Linked DNA regions of Kluyveromyces lactis. The protein of the gene in region 1 interacts with the protein of each later gene in a pairwise test. Links are inferred from orthologs where the notes say so. Each region holds a gene or a part of one and is shown in the gene's direction. Other genes may lie near its edges. The genes, in order: UTP5, UTP9 and UTP4.

Region 1 (3,609 bases):
GGTTTTGCAAGCTTCCCTGAAAAAACTATAATACTCTCGAACTTAATTCTGTGCTGCAAGTCAATATACCAAACAAGCACTTCACGTAGTAATCAATTAGATAATTGGATGAACTTGAGATGATAACAGATTGTAAACAAATTTAACAATGTCAACTTTTGTTTTTAAATGCCTGGTATTACACTTTTTTGTCCTCCTTGAACTCTAGATCTGAATTATGTATAATAATATATACTAAAAAAATACTCATCGCTATTTCATTCACTATGCAAAAAAATGATATGGCTCGCCAAATTGGCACATTTTTTGATGCTTTATATATAAAACTACGAATCAAACTAAGAAGAAAAGTTGAAAATAAAAAAAAAAAAATTAAAACAACAACACACATCGCACACATCGCATCACCTATGCAAACAAGGGACAATAAGGGAATTCTGATTGGAAAATATATATATATAGATGTATATTCAAATTAGCAACAGGACAGAGACATATAAGTGTTGACCTTGGTTGTTAGGCAGGAGCTCTTTCCTTACTTGACGTAAATTCTTTATGTTGTGTTAATCACCCAGCTTCCTCTCATCACAGTAGAAATGCTAACTAGTGTTTGTTAGGAGATATGAAGTGTATAACTTGAAAGCAGGAAGGCAATGTTTGGAGGTTGTAAAATAAGATTGCAAAAGCTGAGTTAACGAACTCAGCTCAGTGGATGTATCCTGAAGAAAAGCCTTAAATTGGGGACCACTGGCTATATGCTCCAAATCACGTGAACAATATATGCTAACTTCTTATTACCCGGCACTTGTTTTTTGTAAGTAAATCTCACTTTTCTTTCTCCTTTCCAAGCTAAAGCTTTTCATTTGAAACTTTTCATAGCTCATCTCATCGCATCTCATCTGAGCTCATCGCACAGTATTTACTTTTGTGTACTTACTTCTTTCCTAAAGTGTTTCGATAAAACGTCTTGGGATATTAATTGAACAATCACCGGCTTTCGTACTGTTTAAGCTAGAGGTCTACACTCTACCACACGAATAACAATAGCAAGCTTAACGATGGCAACAGCTTCGCCAGTCGTATTATCACAATATGATCCAACCGGACAATATTTTGCATACGTTTCCACCGCTTTGGATAAACAGCGGGTATCAGTGGAGCCAACAACTGCCTCCAAATCTGGTTTAGTGAACGATAATTTTCTCTATTTGGAGGGGAAAGACGTCTGCTGTACATGCATACAATGGATTACTTACAATGACACACCATTGGTAGTTCTGGGTCTAAACCTAGGGGAAATATGGCTATACTCTCCTTTATCGAATGAAATAGTGGCGAAACTGAACACAGGATCAAGCTTAGCAGTTTTAGATTTCCAACTCTTTTCAAGCAAGGACAAGGCCTGGTGTTTGACTGGTGATGATACTATTTTTTTATTCGACATGGTATCACAGAATGTATCAAAAAAATTCAAAATTGATGAATGTAAGGACTTAAAAAAGCTATGCATAGTTGATAGCAATCGTATTCTTGTCGCTTCTCATCAAATTTACTTAATCGATGTCATTTCAAAGAAATTGTTGTTACAATACCCTGGCCATATTTCACCTGTGTCTTTCCTTCAAGTGACCACAGATGGAACAGCATTTTTGAGTGCATCTCAGGACGATAGATTTTTGAATATTTATGATTTGGACACTACCAAGACTAAGTCCGTCCTAGTAGCGGACTCGAACGTTATATCAATTTCGATATCTGAGGATTGGTCTCACGTGTCGGCAACAACAGAAGATGGGGATATTGCTATCTTTGAAGAACCTTTGGTATCAATCAATTCAGGGAATAAGAGACGTTCTGGTAAGATATCCAAACAAAAAAACAAAACTATAACTTTATTAAGGTCTAATTCCGCAACCAGATTGCCTATTATCAAAAGTTTTATCAACAAAGATCTAATTAATTTTTCGTGGTTAGAAAATGCAACCACACCTTACTTTGATCAAGTTCAATTAGGTAACCTAACGGATTCAGTCACCACTTTATCCAAGCCATTGCCATCTGCTAAATCTACACAAACCAGGAACAACCAAAACAGTGATATTTCTTCGGCAAAGCTCTACAAAGAGGGTAATGCAACGGTAACATCTGGTGATAACTTTAAGCATGTGGAATCCATTGTCCAAAGTTTAGATGATATAGAAGGAGAAGGGATTTCAGAAACTTTACAGGATAGACTAAATATAATTTCACCACCATCGAGAAAACCAAAGGAAAGGAGAAGAGCCAACGCTGGTACTTCTTCTGTTGTATTAGCTCAAGCATTAAAATCAAATGATCATGCTCTATTGGAAACAGTCCTTAACACACGCGACGAAAAAGTCATTCAAGCAACCATAACCAGGTTATCCCCCCAACTTGCTACGATTCTCTTGGAAAGACTCGCTGAACGTATCGCCAGACAAACTCATAGACAAGGTGCTTTGAACGTGTGGGTGAAATGGTGCCTAATAATTCACGGGGGTTACTTAGTTACCATTCCAAATTTGATAAATTCATTGTCATCGCTACATGCTACTTTGAGGAAACGAGCAGATCTCTTACCAACACTCATGGCATTGGATACACGTATTACACGTTCATTAGATGAATTGAACAGTAAGAGAGCCGTACAATACGGCAAGGATCAACTTGATTCTGAACTTGTCGCTCCATATCAGGATGACGAGTCGAACCAAAATGAAGATGAAGAGGAAGAAGTGGAATATATAGAAGAGCTAGACGATGCTGGATTAATAGACGATGGTGAAGACAGTGCAGAGTACTCTGAAGATGATGACGAACACAGCGAGGCTGATAATCAGGAACTTACATACACTGAAGAAGGATTTGACGACGATGACGAAATGAGGGTCGACGTTGAAGAAGGATACTCTGACGAAGAAGTTCAGCATTAGCGTACATAAAAGAAAAAATATAAAACGCTAACGCATTGAAAAATGCAGCTGCTATGTATCGACTTAGACCTGACATTCTTCCTCCATGCAGCTTTAAGCTTGATTGATCATTATGGCCGGGTAATGGAAACATCGGAGTTTGACTCTGTCTGTAAATAATCTAATTAAAAAAAACAATTGTTTGCTAGTGATGCTCTCAGAATTCAATTTAATCCAGAACCAAACAAGTTAAAAATTTAAAGCGTGGAACATGGAAAATGTAGAAGCGTTTAATGAGGTGTTCTGTGTTGGTTTAGAACGTGCATTTTTGGTAGACGGTCTATCCGGCTCGGAAATCCCGTTCTCGTAAACAATTTTAGAATTTCTCTACTGGTTGCAAGCACGTAGGTTCGTCTCGCGGTACGGGAGTTGATCTTGTCCATGGGATCAGTATCTATCGTTTCGTTTTGTTTTTTTTTATATCTTTGACAGATAAAGTATAAATGTGTCGTGTATTCTTTCGGCTCATCTTCCATTTGAACATTCGTTGAGTGTTCTTTGATCAGTAAATCTTTGATATACTTATTTAAAGAAGTGGCAACCACAGGTTACCCAAGTTAAAGTATCTCATAGCTTTTTTGCTGCAGGCACAGAGCAGGAGAGTTTTTCTATTAAT
Region 2 (3,599 bases), on another chromosome or scaffold:
AGTTTCTTCGATTTCTTGGAAAGTGTTAGAGTTGATTGGTGATTGCAATAGGAAAGAGGGCAGTATGGTTTCTTTCTACTTGGAAGATTTTATGATGGCAATTTCTAACTATTTAATTTACGGTAAGGACGAATTGAAGCAAAACCTTTTTTACACTAATATACTATTTGAAATATTCCAAGCTGCTACTGCAAATGAAAACGAGGACAAGGATCTAGACGAAATGTGCGTCGTGTTTGAATTTGCACAAAAGATGATTTTGGCATTCGGAGACAAAATCCCAGAACAATTTTTGAGTACATTTTTAACTACTACAACTGAAGCGATAGAAGTGGAAAAAAACAGTTTGAAAACTCATCTAAATTATGGTGTCAATGCATTCAACGTTATACTAGCATCTATGGTATACTATCCATCACAATCATTGAACTTTCTAAACCACAAACAGCTTCTTACGACTTTCCTTGAAATTTGGATCCAGTTCTATCTCCCAAAGTTTACTAGAGTCATTGACATTAAGTTGTCGATCATGGCTACCTTATCTCTTCTAACACTTGTACCCATGCAAGAGTATGTCTCGTTACACATCGAGGCCGTGTATCTGAAATTGGGGCCAATGTTGAATGATTTATTCAACAAGTTCCCTGCAGCACTGAAGGTCTTACAGGATAAACGTCAAGAATTCTCAAGTGATGCATTCAGTAAGTTTGATGGATTTAACGATGAGTGGAATGACTTCGAAGACGATGATGAAGATGCTGCTGGCGATGCTGAAGAATATCTAAAATTCTTGAAGAATGAAGCCGGAAGCCTACAACTAATCCATGAATCGGGCCAGTTCCTTGACCAAGATGATATGGATGAACTTGAAGAAGACCCATTATCTGGATCCATCCTCGATGACGTCAACATCTATGAACTTTTCCAACACACTTTCTCAAGATTGGAGCAGACTGAACCAGAGAAGTATCAAAACTTCATTGGTAGCATGTCTTCAGAAGACCAACAAGCTTTTCTCAGAACTTTGCACACAACATAAGGTGAAATGACTTGTCAGTCATTCAAATGTTGTATTAATTTCGAATGTATATACATATAGCTTTATCTACTTTTGCATCGCCGACATAATAGTTCACGTGCTGACCATTCGAGCAGCTGCTATTTACCTGTAGCCGGGTAAGAGTTTTTCTTTTTCTGGCGTTACTGAAAAATTTCCATCCATCTCATCACTTAATAGCCTAGCTAGATTGAAGGTAAAGAGTTCGATGTGATCAAAAGGTAACTTTACCATTAGTACCGGCAACTTCTGAGGCGAAGCGACAGAAATATTGAACCAGTTTATAGAATGGTTGAATCTAGTTACTCAGCTGGTGATTACATTACTAGTTTCTCTCCAGGAGCAACATTTTTCGCATTTCAATCCAATAGGTCCCAAAAGAACTCCATTGACTTATATCCACTAGAAGACGTGAGCAACTTACATATAAACAGTTCTCAGGTTCTTCAAATTGATTATGAGAGCAATGACTTAGTAGTCTCTGAAGTGAACCTTTTGACCTGGTGTAGCAACCATTCTTCCGCGGAGAACAACTGTAAAACGAGAAGTGTGAAAAGAAGAGCCGATGAAGAGATAGCGAACTCTCCATTAGAGCAATATTTTATAAATGTATTCCCTAGTGGAAAGATTGTTGTGCATTCAGCTAATGGTAAAGAGATCATTAATATCATACAGAACAAGAAAGAAATTCTAGGCATTGATTCGAAAGATGATGTTATATGGTTGTTAGATGACGATAAAACTGTGAAAAGGTTCAACTATGCTACAACAAAGCCGTTACAAACGTTCCATCTAACGGATGGTAAGAATGAAGATATCATCAACTTCCAGGTATTAAGTTTCCCACAAAAACTACTTCTGGCGGTCATCACAGAAGAGTTCGTTTATCTTGTAGATCCATCTAAGAAAAGGCCTTCAACGTTCAGCAAGATTGAAAATTTCGGATCAATTTCATGTACAGTATATGATCAAGACCATGTCGTAATTGCCGATGTATCAAAAGTCTCCCTCTACTCTTTACCAGAGAAAAAAATACTATGCCAATGGGATGTTGAATCCGAGAAGGTGAAAGTAATTAATGATAATATCGTAGTATTGGACACTGCAGGTAGAATGAAGGTTTTACTGAAAGATGCAGAAGAACCGCTTGCAAGCATAAAAGTCGAGAACTCTGAAATTTTAGATTTTGAGATCAAAGATGATAACATTGTACTAGCATGGATCGATGTGAATGAGCCTAAGTTCGAAGTAATATCTGAATCTCAACTGCATGAACAAAATGAATTCGCGTTCAATTTAGTTGATACCGAGAAACAAGCTTCTCTGGTCCCTGACGAGATCGTCGCCAAGGATGAACCTGAATCTGATAGAAAAATTTCAAAAAAGGAACAAAATGAAACTGTACAGAAGCTAATCACTGCTCTCGGAGAAGCCAATATGAATTCTGAATTAATTCTTGAAATTCTTTTACAACAACCATGGTCGGATAATAACATCCAATTATTTGTCAGAGATGATCTTAACGAAGACAGTACTAATAAGTTGTTTGAAGTGCTTGCGCAACATATATCAGCAAATGTTGATTCAGCAGGCCAAGCCTCTGTATGGCTCAAATGGCTATTAACTCTTCGTAGATCTCAAATCAAGGTTATCAATTCAAACACAAACAAAATGACAAAACGCCTAAGGTCGTCCTTAAGGACCAGCTCGGAGTCTCTCTCAACTCTCCTTTCCATTCAAGGTAAATTAGAAATGCTTTCCGGACAATCTTTCTTGAGAAAACAATTAGCATCCATGCAAATCAATGGCAAAGACGTTAATGAAATACAAGACAGAGAACAGGAAGACGAACAAGAATTCGTATATGAAAATGGAGAAGCTGATGATTTGAATGACGCTTCCGAATAATAACCGTTGATACCAATACTACGTATTTCATTATAACTAGTACCGCATATATAGATCCTAATTCCATCCAGAAAAACCATCAAAGAATTGCGGAAATACAAATACCTTTACTTTCCCCTCGCTTATTAGAGCCGCTATTTACACTATTCCTATGCGAATAACGTTCTAAATCCTTATGCTACAACTGGCTGTGTTGTAGCTTATCTCATCACATGGGAATCTTTGCTGATCTCAGATAACAAGATTTCTTTTTTTTTTTTTCGAAAAGTTTTAAAGCTCATCGCATCTTTTTAAGAACTGGTATCTCATCTTCAGCCGAATTACCATTGAGTTATCACCTCGCGTATTCGTATCATTGCATTTCGCTAATATAGTTAGTGACAAGCGCTATACGAACCACCCAAATTGTCGATAGCCTATCTGAAATTTAAAGATGTCTCAGGAAGATTCTGGAGCTGATACTAGCAAGATGTACATTTCGTACAATAATATTCATAAGCTTTGCCAAGATGTAGCGAAAACTATCATGAATAAAGGTGAAAGACCAGATGTAATCATTGCTATTACTGGTGGTGGTATGATTCCAGCCAGGATAATCAGATCTTTTTTGAAATCCAAGGGTCAAAAGAACATT
Region 3 (3,760 bases), on another chromosome or scaffold:
TCCAATAAATCGATGATGTCACCGTCCAGGATGTTCAACCAGGTGAAGGCAACTAATTTTTTACAAGAATTTCTAACCGTTTCATCTCTATCTTCAAACCCCCAGGTCATCAGTTTCTCTAAAATATCAGAATCCACCTCATCGAACGTATGCTTCCCCAAACTCTTTAGTACTCTTGTAAACACCAATCTTCTATTGATGAAATTAACATCTCGTACCCGTTCCAAGATAACATTCTGGGTCGCTTTCGAACGTACAATATTCAACATTGCTGCCCTCCGAACTTCTGGACTTGGATCATTCCTAATGATATGCATTAAACTCTGTGTAGCTTCATCGAGTTGGAAATTTACTCCGGTTTCTGATTCATTAATCATCGATACGTTATCGTTTTGAAATTTTGTCAAACAAAATATCGCCTGTATCCTAACATGAGGTTCCTTGTCATACACCCTATGCTTCAAAACCCACATAATCAACTCGTACAATTCCTCATCAATTTCTCCCATATTATCCATAGTTGCGGCCAAAAGTTGCATTACTCTGTATCGTACGTTTTTATTTTTCGATTCCACTCCTCGAAGCAGATTCCTCACAAATCCATCAATAAATCCTCCGAAATGTACTTCCAAATTCCTCACATTTTGCTCATTACCATCTTCGGTTCTCATCTTGTTAAGATTCGACTCTATATTTGCGATGAACCCTGAAATCAACCGAACAATGCGATCCCCCACGATTTCCTGTTTCTTCAGCGGCAAGATTTTGACAGTCATTTTGATAAACCAATAATGAAACACATCTGATATCTCTTGCTCCACACATTTCAAATAAATCCTGTATAAGACAGCTACATGACGTCTGTGACCAGCATAACTCTTCTGCGCCACCTGGAAAACCTCCGCTATAGAATTCAGAACACGACGATTTGTAGGAGATTCTCCATCCTGAACATCCATATCAAACAATTGCACCCTTTTGGTCAATAATACCACGAGTATACACCAGGGAAAGGCTGCTATGAGGTTGCCGCCGATGTTTCTTCCACTTTCCTTTTCCTCTTTGTTTATTAGTTTGTTTATGTGAAGAGAAGATCCAATTGTAAACAAATCTCGTTTTCCCAATAGATCTAATATATCACGTGATATGATCATACTGTACGGTGTTGAAGCTAAACTAGTTTCTTTTTGAAAAATTTCAGCGTTAAGAGCACACAAGCTTAGAACAGAAGCTCATCTCATCGGATAACAAAGTCGTATATTTCTATCTAGTCAGTGAAGTTTTTTGATTGACATCAGCCTACAGTTTGTCAATCTTTTGTTTCATTCTAATACATTAGCTTTTGTTCTCTGATACAGGTTTAAGGTCCTCAATTTATAGAACACATTTGATCATGACTGATACTGGGAAGAAACAGGTAGTGCATCGATCCAGGTTTGTGCAGTTTACACCTGGTAATATAACGGCTCTTGCATTTTCACACAAAAGTACTGATAAAGCGGCACCGCAAGAGCTAAGACTGGCTATTGGTAGATCCAATGGTAATATTGAGATCTGGAATCCAAGAGATGATTGGGTACAAGAGTTCGTGATCTTGGGAGGTGAAGGAAGATCCATTGAAGGTCTTTCCTGGTGCAGTATTCGTGGAGAGCCTTTGAGACTATTTTCGATCGGTGGCTCCACTGTAGTTACAGAATGGGATTTGACAACCGGGTTGCCGTTAGTAAATTACGATTGTAACTCTGGTGTGATTTGGTCCATTGCAATGAGCAACGATATGAATAAGCTAGCGGTCGGATGTGATAACGGCAGTGTAGTACTTATTAACATCAGTGGTGGTAAAGGTGTTCTTGAGCATGAGAGCATACTTACAAGGCAAGAATCTCGTGTCTTATCGTTGACATGGACAGCCAATGATGAATCTTTGGTCGCTGGTTGTTCTGATGGAAGGATTAGAATATGGTATACTAAGGAGCAAGACGAAAACAAGGGAAGACTATTACATACTATGAAAGTGGATAAATCGAAGAAAGAATCTACACTCGTATGGTCTGTGTTGTATCTAGCTAAACAGAACCAAATTGTGTCTGGTGATTCTACTGGGTCGGTCAAATTCTGGGACTTAAACTACGCAACATTGACTCAATCTTTCAAGGTTCATGATGCCGATGTTCTATGTCTGGCTACTGATCTGGATAATTCACAATTGTTCACTAGTGGTGTTGATAGAAAGATTTTCCAATTCTCTTACATCGATACAGGAAAGAGCATGAAATGGATCAGTACTTCAAACAGATTATTCCATTCCAATGATGTTAGATCTATGTCCTCTTATCAATGTATGGGATCCGACTTCCTAGTGTCTGGTGGTATTGAAAAGTCTCTTGTCATGTGCTCAATGTCCTCTTTCGCTGAAGGAAATTATAGAAAGATGCCACTAGTTACCCCATTCCATAAGAGCATCCTGGTCAACAAACAACAAAGACTATTGGTGATGTGGCAGGATAATATCGTGAAGATATGGTATATTGGCGAAGACGTCAATGAGCCTAAGAACTACAAATTAGTTAGTAAATTGGTTTTGAAGGATGAACAAAACATCCAAACCTGTGCACTATCAACTGACGGACAAGTTTTATTAGTGGGAAGACTAAATACTACCAAAGTTTTCCATTTACAACCAACAGACAACAAATTGAAAGTAACAAAGTTGGACAATGAGTTTTTGTTGAGAACTGGTTGCAAATTTGCTAAGTTCATTGATGATTCTAGGTTAATAATGTGTTCACAATCTGATGAAATAGTTAGAATTGACCTTGAAGAGGATGACGACGAAAAAACCGTAACTATTGAGTTACCTGAAGCGAACTCAACGAAATCCAGCAATAAACTATCATATTTGAATGCAGTGAACCATTTAGATGCAAATGAACGTTACGCTGTTGCGTCTAGAGGTACCGGTGCTCTAGACTTAATAGATTTGACAACAAACAGTAGTAAAGCTTTAATTCGCATGAACAACTTCATCACTGCACTGTGCATCACACCAAGAGAGACTGTAGTAGTAGTGACATCAGAAAATAAAATATACGAGTTCAATTTGGAATCCGAGAAGGATCAACTACTCACTGACTGGTTCAAAGCCAATCATGAAAACCTCCCAAGGCAATTTACTTCCTTGAAAGAGAGATGCACAGGAATATTCTTAGATGAAATGGATGAGCATAAGGTATGGTTCTGGGGATCTAACTGGTTGGTTAACATCAACATGTCATTAGACTTGCCAGTTAGCAAAAGAAAGAAGCAAAAGAAGCGTGACCGTGACGGATTAACTATTTCCACTGACGGTCTACAGGCAGACGTCGATGAGGATGATGAAGACGATGAAGAACTCGAAGTTAAGGAAGATTATCTCTTAAAAACTCAGAGAGCGCAAGATGTCACCTCCAAGAAGAGATCTGATAAGGCGTTTTTCTATACCGATAAGTATAGACCTCTATTATTCGCTGGAAAGATCGCAAGTGACCAATTAATCATTGTGGAAAGACCAAACTTCTTGATCTCCCAACCTCCTGCATTTGAATTAGAAAAGTTAGTATTCTAATTTATAATTTCTGTACATTATTATAAACTCGATCTTCATCGCGAAATTGATTTTTAACATAGGGTCATCATTCCGCCGCATATCATCTGTGTAGTGTTCTTTCTGCTACCTTAATACCAATGAATGTCAAGAGCGAACTGCAAGCGAACATTTTAT

The links.
Region 2: the proteins of UTP5 (region 1) and UTP9 interact in binary tests that used the Saccharomyces cerevisiae proteins (3 or more experiments, as listed by UniProt). The link is inferred for Kluyveromyces lactis from reciprocal best matches to the Saccharomyces cerevisiae genes UTP5 and UTP9.
Region 3: the proteins of UTP5 (region 1) and UTP4 interact in binary tests that used the Saccharomyces cerevisiae proteins (3 or more experiments, as listed by UniProt). The link is inferred for Kluyveromyces lactis from reciprocal best matches to the Saccharomyces cerevisiae genes UTP5 and UTP4.

The regions. Positions count from the first base shown.
Region 1 is NC_006039.1:579,291-582,899, forward strand, and holds UTP5 (Utp5p), read left to right. Parts: upstream 1-1,058; coding exon 1,059-2,954; downstream 2,955-3,609. UniProt on the Saccharomyces cerevisiae protein: Involved in nucleolar processing of pre-18S ribosomal RNA. Required for optimal pre-ribosomal RNA transcription by RNA polymerase I together with a subset of U3 proteins required for transcription (t-UTPs).
Region 2 is NC_006038.1:376,545-380,143, reverse strand, and holds UTP9 (Utp9p), read left to right. Parts: upstream 1-1,345; coding exon 1,346-2,965; downstream 2,966-3,599. Other genes in the region: NMD5 (Nmd5p), read left to right, coding at 1-1,039; XPT1 (xanthine phosphoribosyltransferase), read left to right, coding at 3,399-3,599. UniProt on the Saccharomyces cerevisiae protein: Involved in nucleolar processing of pre-18S ribosomal RNA. Required for optimal pre-ribosomal RNA transcription by RNA polymerase I together with a subset of U3 proteins required for transcription (t-UTPs).
Region 3 is NC_006040.1:1,131,911-1,135,670, reverse strand, and holds UTP4 (small subunit rRNA maturation protein UTP4), read left to right. Parts: upstream 1-1,393; coding exon 1,394-3,604; downstream 3,605-3,760. Other genes in the region: condensin subunit YCG1, read right to left, coding at 1-1,154; KLLA0_D13200g (uncharacterized protein), read right to left, coding at 3,687-3,760. UniProt on the Saccharomyces cerevisiae protein: Involved in nucleolar processing of pre-18S ribosomal RNA. Required for optimal pre-ribosomal RNA transcription by RNA polymerase I together with a subset of U3 proteins required for transcription (t-UTPs).